2 linked regions of the Ovis aries genome follow. The protein of the gene in region 2 interacts with the protein of the main gene of each other region in a biochemical or structural test. Links are inferred from orthologs where the notes say so. Each region holds a gene or a part of one and is shown on either strand. Other genes may lie near its edges.

Region 1 (3,800 bases), on a different chromosome or scaffold from region 2:
ACAGCACGGTGATTTTAAAGCTTCTGACCTGTACTGTCTCATCAGAATTAGTCCCTTTCACTGTCTTCAAAGCATGTTCAACAACCTGTGTTTAAAGAGACCTTCTGCCTTCAATTATTTTGTTGTAGGCACCAACAGAAAGTCATTTAAGTTCAGAAATCAATTTTAATTAGTGCTTTTAAATGATTCTTCTTTAATAAAATGAGAAGCGAGAACACGCTAGGGTTGTTAGAATAACCTCTGGGCTTTTAAAAAGCCAAATGCTTCCAGGCATGGTCTGCCACGGGCAGATTCCAGTCCTAAAACTGGGGGGCAGACAGCCAAGAGATGAGTCAAGGCGTGTGGCCGGCAGCGCGGGGAGAGGGTGGGCACCCTGGACGGGCCGGGGACCCCCGGAACCGAGTGAGCGCTGCTGCGTGCGGGCCCGGTCCGGGTGACCCGAGGGCAGAGAGCTCGGCAGAGCACCTCCGTGAGGCGTGCCCATGTGCGCTCCGGGGCCTGGCCGGCCATGCAGCCTGGGGCCAGGGTCGCACCTGTTCCTGAGCCCAGGCTCGCCTGCTCCCAGAGTGTTTCCAGGCATCACAGTGAGCAGGACAGGTCTGAAGCCCCTTCTCCTCCTGAAATCAAATGCCTGCTGAGTTCAGGGGCCGGGAGGGGAGGAGGTGGCGTCTGTCCACGCAACAGCGAGGACGCCCACCCCCTCCACTCCGAACCTGCTGCTGGCCTCTCCTGGGGCTCAGAGGATCACGATGGGCTCATGGCGGGGGAGCGCTGCAAACTGGGGTTTCGCGGCCCTTGGCGCTCTGCTGTGGGCGGCCTGGGGGCCACACGGCACATGGAGACGCTGGCCGGCCTGACCCGCCCGGCCTACAGCTGTCCGGTCAGGGTCCTGAGGGGAGGGGGGCCCGCGTCCTCTAAACAAAATCTCGTGAGACCCACTCTGTTACAACATCTGGAAACACATGTTAAACCACATTTTGAAGTAGTAAGTGAAGGTTCTCGGAGTTTAAAAGAAGGCCTTTGAGATCTCTCCGCCGAGGTGGGCAGGAGTCGGCCTCCGCCTCACAGCTGCCGCACCTTCCTCTCGGTGCTGGTGATGCTGGCGTCTAGCTTGTCCACCTTGGTCGTGAGGCGGTCGAGGATGTCGTCCTGCTCGTCAATCTCTGTCTGTATCCCCAGTGCGATGTCCTTCAGCCGGCCCAGGCCCACGGACAGCTCATCTGCAGGACAGGAGGGTATGCGTGTCCTGAGCCCAGTCAGGGCGTCGGGACCTGCACCCCAGATGCCCCCTGTGGTCACTGGCCCGTCCTCCTGGGAGATGGCCAGGTGCCAGGGCAACAGTTCTGGTTCCAGGACACACAGCGGTGAGTCAAGCAGCAGTAACTGGCCGATGGAAAAGCACCCCCTCCCGAGCCCACCGGGAGCCCACTGTCCGTACATGGACACGGTGTTTCTTCTAGAAATTCACACAGGGCCACACAGCTTCCAGCTGCCTTTAACCTGACGCTGCGTCAAGCACAGATGCTGAGTTGCAGACGGGAGGTCTGCCGCCTGGAAGCAAACCTGAGACATACCCCAGGCTCCACCCCTGAGACGTACCCCAGGCTCCACCCCTGAGACATACCCCAGGCTCCACCCCTGAGACATACCCCGGGCTCCACTCCTGACACACACCCCGGGCTCCACTCCGGAGACGTACCCCGGGCTCCACCCCTGAGACGTACCCCGGGCTCCACTCCTGACACGTACCCCGGGCTCCACTCCTGACACACACCCCGGGCTCCACTCCGGAGACGTACCCCGGGCTCCACCCCTGACACGTACCCTGGGCTCCACTCCTGACACGTACCCCGGGCTCCACACCTGAGATGTACCCCAGGCTCCACCCCTGAGACGTACCCCGGGCTCCACCCGAGAGGTACCCCGGGCTCCACTCCTGACACGTACCCCGGGCTCCACTCCTGACACATACCCCGGGCTCCACACCTGAGATGTACCCCAGGCTCCATTCCTGAGACATACCCCGGGCTCCACACCTGAGATGTACCCCAGGCTCCACTCCTCTCTGTAATAGATGCTTTCTGTCATAAGAAGCGGTGAAAACCAATCTCAATTTGCCTTTAAGGGGAAAGGTGTCCGTAAGGTCACAGTCGGCCTTGAGTACACAAAGGCTTCGTCAGCATCGTGGCAGAGAGCACTGGCTGTGAGCAGGGAGGGGCCGGCGAGGGCCTGGGGTTCCCCGACTCAGCTGTGCCAGCCGCGGAGCGGAGTTCCGGCCCGACTGACTGTCCGGGTGAAGGCAAAGCTCCTCCTTCGGGTTTTGTGGCTGTGTGTGTGTGTGTGTGTGTGCACACGTGTGCCTGCAGATATGTGTGCGGGTGTGTGTACCTGTGTGCCTACGGGAGTACGAGTTTGCACACACACAGGGAGTGGGGGGCACGCCCAGAGCGGCTCTCTGCTCTTCCACCAGCTAAGAGCGAGGGCAGCAGAAGCGCGGTGCTCCGGGAGGCTTGTCACTGAGCTAAAGACAACGGGGCGACCGAAGGAGGCTGGCTCAGGGCCAGGCGGAGGGGGGCTGGCAGACCCCGCCCCTGCCGCTGTCACCGCCCAGATGAGAGGTGGGGACAGAAGCAGGCGGGCAGAGCCTAGTGGGGGTGAAGGGCTGGGAGCCGTGCAGGCGTGGGGTGGGTGGGGGGCAGGCCCCGGGGCCCGGTGCGGGCGGGCGTGGAGGCAGCGGCGCTCTGGGCTCACCGAGGTTGCTGTCGATCCTCTGGTGACAGGCGCGAAGGTGCGGGTTCTGCGGGTAGGCCTCGGAGCTCACAGCTGAACCGGCCCCTCCAGGGACGGAGTCTGGGTTGACAGAGAGGCACGGGAGGACGGTTAATGGACAGCCCCTGAAGAGTCGCCTCATGAAACTCATCTTTAGCCTGGACAATCGGTGGAAGGCCCAAGGCGTTCAGGTCCGAGGCCACTGAGAGAGACGGGTGGGGATGGGGAAGGTGGGGGAAGACGATGCTTCCTTGGGGGCAGCCCTTCCGAGATCACAGACCCCCAGGTAAGGGTGGTCTGGCCAGACCCTGGCCCTCGAGCTCAGCAAAGAGCTTCGTGCAGGTAGTGATGTGCAATGGAGCGGTCGCCGTGCAAACCCGCACAGGCTACAGAAGACCCACGGACAACACGCGCCTGCCCCAGAAGGCCTCCTCCAAGCCTGTTTCCGAGTGCACGCAGAGAAGCCCGGGCCCTCAAGCCCCGTCTCCTGGGACCAGCTCTCGCTAGACTCGGGGTCTCTCTTTGCTCAGGGGCACAGCATTCACCCCTTCCTCCAAGGCTCTCACCTCCTAGACGCCCTCTGGTCCCTTCTCTGCCAGACCCTGCAGGTTGGTTATGTCTGACGTGCCTGGCTCTCTGGGGTGCATAGAAGCCCCCAGGAAGCCAGTTCCTCTCGAGACAAGGGACGTTTCTGGGCCCGTCATTCACCTTCCCTCCTGTACTCCTTGTCCAGTGGCTGGGCCTCATGGGTTGCGTTAGCCGCCCTGACAAACTCCCACAAGCCACCCTCGGTTCTGGATGGTGGATGTCAAAGCCGGGGCCCCTGGGCGCAGACCCAGGTGTCGGTGGGGCGGGGCTCCTGCAGGCTCTCGAGGGGAGGCAACTCCTGGCCCCATCCAGCCCTGGGGAGCCAGTCCTGAGGGCCACCACTCTCTCCTCTGCCCCCCTCCCACGAGCAGAGAGCCTCTGTGATGTCACTGGGACAACTCCGCCCACAACGAGGCCAGCCACTGGGCAACCACACTGTCCCT
Region 2 (4,247 bases):
CAGAGAGAGAGGCCCACGGAGCTGGTGCAGGTGGAGGGGAGCAGATTGTTCAGTCATAGGAGGGTCACCCCTGAAGGCCCTCAGCAGAGGGGATGGGGCTGACAGGACACGGAGAGCAAAGCTGTGTGTGGGAATGAGCGAGGGAAAGGGGCCGATCCTTGGCCAGCCGCGTCAAGTCCTTAGAGAGAGAAGGTCGACTTGCTCTGTGACTTTAGCGAAATGCTCACCCTTTCTGAGCCCATGTTCTCATCTCCCAGACCAGCCTCACAGCAGTTACCTCACAAGGTTGCTGGGGTGATTCCAGATGATTGATGTAAGCAAGCTCCCAGCACACAGAAAGGGCTCAAGAACATTCCATTTACTAAGCAATTTGGACTTTATCCCTAGGTCTGTGTTTCCAATGTTTAAACACTAATGTTTTAGCAGCAGAAACTTTTTTATTCAAATGAAAATGTTCTCAGAACCCCATGTTATAAAACCCACGCAGGAGTGAGGCTACTGTGGGAGCTGGAGCAGGGCTGGGGGCCGTGCTTCTCTCCACGGCGGGGGCCTGGGCAGTCAAGAGAGCAGAAGGGGTGTGCAGAGCAGGCGCCTGGCTCCTGGGGGGCTTCAGCACAAACTGGAACCCAGAGTCCTTGGCTCCTCTTGGTCACATTGGACCGTTGGCGGTGCTTCCTTAGGATGCAAGGTGGAGGCCCAGGGTCGGTCCAGACATTTATTGAGCACACACCTGGGCTCAGCTTGGGCTGGGGGCTGAGCTCATAGGTGGTGGGGAGAACAGAAACACGGGGAGAATGCAGTGCTTGGGGGAAGCATGGGGTGCTGGGGGTGCTCGCTGGGCACTTCCGGTCAAGTGGGCTTTAAGAAGGCTTCCTGGAGGCAGCAAATGATCCAGCAAAGCTTGGAACAGTTATTGATAGTAAGTAAGCCCGACAAAAAGGCTGGGAAGGGTGCTCAGGCAGAGGGAACCTCACGGACTGAGCACAGAGACACACAGCACAGCCGGTGGAGGTGGAGCCCTAAAGCAATTCATTCATTTTCCCCACGCAAGCAGGCAAGTGGGGAGGCGGGGAGGGGCAGACTGTGGCAGACAGGTTTCATGGCCCACCAGGGCACCCCCGCCCGCCCCTTCCCCTGCAGGTCCTGGTGGCTGGCATCGAGGCGAACATACCTGTGACCTATGGAATTGGCAGCCAGAGGGGACACGAGAGCACTGGCTGTCAATTCATAGGTCAGAGCCCTGTGCACTCGCTCTTGGCAGCCTGCTGACAGCCCACTGCCCTTCGCCACCCTGGTGCAGGGAGTGTGGCCATGGGGGTGGGGGTCCCTGCTGGTGTGTGCTGGGCAGTCGCCGCTTCGCCTCCTCCGTGGGTGTGGCCCCCACCCCAGATAACAGCAGCCCCACTGGAACTAGTGGTACTTCCACATGGAGTTGCTGTTACAGGGGGTGGGAGCCAGTTGGAGGCCTGGGCCCTGTCCTCACGGCCCTCGGTCCACAGTCTTTTTATGGAGGCTCCTTATCATCTGGGGCCCACACCTGGAGTCTGATGCCAGACTCCTTCTGGGCGAAGTCCAGGCTCAACCCCAGATCTGCTCATAAAGCTGGGAGTGGCTCCCGTTTACAGCTCCTGGGCAGCCTTTGCCCACTGACACCCCACACCCTCTCCCCAAGTTCCTTGTTTCCTCGTTTCTTTCCCAACTAGAGCTGGGCCCCAGGTTCAGGTCTGCCGCTGTGGCCTCCACTCTCTGCCCTTTGCCCACCCTTCCTGCTGCAGCCACAGGGCGGAGACACAGTGAGGGACCACTGGGCATCTGCGATCTCCAAGGACCTCTGAATGCCCAGAACCCTGAGGAGGGTGCCAGACACGAAGCTGGAGATGAGACAGAGAGAATGGTGGGGGGAACAGAGAAGGGGAGACAGTGAAAGTGGGAGAGTGAGGCAGGGGCGCCGAGAGAGGGCGATGAGAGGGGCAGGCAGAGAACGGGAAGCAGACAGAGCTGGGGGGCGGGGAGCATAGAGAACCGGAGAAGGTGCTTGAGACATCACCCCCCACAGAATGCTAAGAACAGGGCTATCAGCTGATTCATTCTGGAAGAACATTCAGCACCTCAGTGGCCCGACAGCCAGCAGGGTCCTAGGAGCTGGGTGACCTTGAGCAAGTGGCTTAACCTCTCTGAGCCACTGCTGGTTCTCATACCAGGGTGTGTGAGGTCACCCTGGCCGGCGCTGTTGCAGAGCCACCTCCCCTTCCAGCTTTGGGTCCGTTCCCCGTTGGTTGGGGTCCCTGAGCTGGCCCAGGGCCCCAGGGGAACAGCCCTCTCTCCTGCCGTGTGTTCGCATCCCCACCAAACAGGCTCTGGCCCCTTACAATAGCAGTCCTGTGAGGCCTAGGGGATTCTTTGGAGAACCCAAAGCTTCTGGGGAGAAAGCGGACCTGGGACTCAGCTTTTAGAGTGGACCTAGGCTATGGACCCCTTTCCCAGCAGTGGAAACCGGCCCTGGGGGGCAGAGGAGGCTGCCCAAGGTCACAGAGCAGGTTCTTTTGAAGACCTGCAGGCAAGACCAAGTACCTGGTTTAGCAGAGGCAGGAGCAGCGGCAGAGATCCCCGTCATCCACTCAGGTTTCCATCGATGGAAACCGAGGCCCAGGGGCAGAAACGACTCGCTTGGGTCACCCAGGAGTTGCCTCGGGGCCCTTCCTTTCTTCTTAGAAGGGCTGGGCTCGGGCGCATCCAGGGTGAGTGGGCAGAGGGGCTGCAGGGACCTAACCCCGCAGGGAAGGCTCTTACCTGGGCGCCGGGCTGGCCCTCGGGGCACGAGGAGGAAGTGGGGCCACTCTGGGCCCAGCGCCTTTTGAGCCGTTGGCCCAGCCCCTGGCTGCAGTTAATGATTACCGTGTCGCTTGTCAATACCGATCCCAAGTGCAGTTCGAAGGGCATCAAACCCTGGACTGTGCTCGGGCAGGGTGGGGCAGTTCCAGGAAGCATCAGCCTGGGCCCCACCTGCCTCTCCTGGTGGCATCAGATCCCAGCCATCAAAACCCTGCTCCCCTGTCACGGCGTGGCCTGTGGCCCCACGCGACGTTGAGGACCCTGGGAGCCACTAGGACAAAACTTCTGCCCCAACTCACTTAGGGCCCAGGTCCTCACCGAGGAGGGCCCACCAGGGACACAAAGCGGGTTGGGGGGCTTTGCTGACACCCCAGCAAGGTGAGCATTCTCTATGCCTCAGCCTGGGCCTGTTTCCCCATGGGCCCTCCCATCTCAGCGCAGTGCTCCTGGAGAACTGGGTGGGGAGGGGCCCAATAGAGTGGCCCCTTCTTCCTTGTTCACCAGAGACAAGGCAAGAGGTGTGGGGAGGGGCGGGCGATAGCCATTTCCCCATCCCAAGTGTTTCTGTGCCAAAGTCACTGTCAGGCCCCCTTCCAGCCCGTGTTGTCCCCAGCGCCCCTCCCCCTCCAGGGGGGAGCTGGGACCCCAGGGTAGAGGTTCCAGTCACCTGAAAACCTGCTAAGGAAAGCAGGCGTGGCCCCAGAGGGCCCAGCCTTCCAGGAATGGCCTTGACTGACCCTCGTGGCCCCTGGGTCGGCTGGGCAGATGACTGGGAGGGGCCTGAGGCTCAGAGACCAAGGGCGAGGCCTCAGGTCACAGGGTCGGGGCCTCGGCCCCCCTGGGGTCCTGCACAGTCCTACCCTTTGCTCGGGTCCAGTGCCCTCCCAGTGCCCCAGGGAGGGCTGGATTGGGCTTTTTGGGGGAGGGGCCAAGAAACATAGTCTGGGTGAGATGGGCTCCAAGGACCATTTCTTCTCTCCTCTCCTCTCTACTCAGAGCCCGCCAGATCACAAGTGGTGCCAGGGTGGCAGTCCCCCATGAGAGGGGCGAGGGGCCTAGCGCAGCAACAGGGCAGCGGAGGGGAGGAGCAGAGAGGCAGGCAGGCGGCTGGGTTCGAGGCCAGGGGCAGTGGGTGGGGTGGTGGTGGGCAGGGGGCTGTTCACCTGCCGGGTGGGTGGAGAGGGTGTGGCAACCCCTGGTGGTGAGCTGGGCGGTGCAGGGTACACAGCTGGGGACGGGGCGGTGCAGGTCGAGGCTGGGGCACTGCAGGTACACAGGGGGGCTGGCGGTGGGCAGTTTATTCCACGTCATGCAGACACTGACCCACACGCTCAAGGAGCTTAAAAATACATTGAGCCACACGGTGTCCGTGCCCCCATCTCCCGCCGAGACACAGAAAGACACTTGGCTGAGTG

What was found.
Region 1: the proteins of EHD1 (region 2) and SNAP29 form a complex in vitro, tested with the Homo sapiens proteins (2 studies listed by BioGRID). The link is inferred for Ovis aries from reciprocal best matches to the Homo sapiens genes EHD1 and SNAP29.

What each region holds. Positions count from the first base shown.
Region 1 is NC_056070.1:72,311,338-72,315,137, reverse strand, and holds the end of SNAP29 (synaptosomal-associated protein 29), read right to left. Parts: intron 2,851-3,800; coding exon 2,752-2,850; intron 2,119-2,751; coding exon of another isoform or gene 2,066-2,118; coding exon 1,948-2,065; intron 1,507-1,947; coding exon 1,439-1,506; intron 1,221-1,438; coding exon 1,063-1,220; 3' UTR 146-1,062; downstream 1-145. UniProt on the Homo sapiens protein: SNAREs, soluble N-ethylmaleimide-sensitive factor-attachment protein receptors, are essential proteins for fusion of cellular membranes.
Region 2 is NC_056074.1:39,563,554-39,567,800, forward strand, and holds the start of EHD1 (EH domain-containing protein 1), read right to left. Parts: upstream 2,830-4,247; 5' UTR 2,572-2,829; intron 1,458-2,571; exon of another isoform or gene 1,375-1,457; intron 676-1,374; 5' UTR 1-675. UniProt on the Homo sapiens protein: ATP- and membrane-binding protein that controls membrane reorganization/tubulation upon ATP hydrolysis. In vitro causes vesiculation of endocytic membranes. Acts in early endocytic membrane fusion and membrane trafficking of recycling endosomes.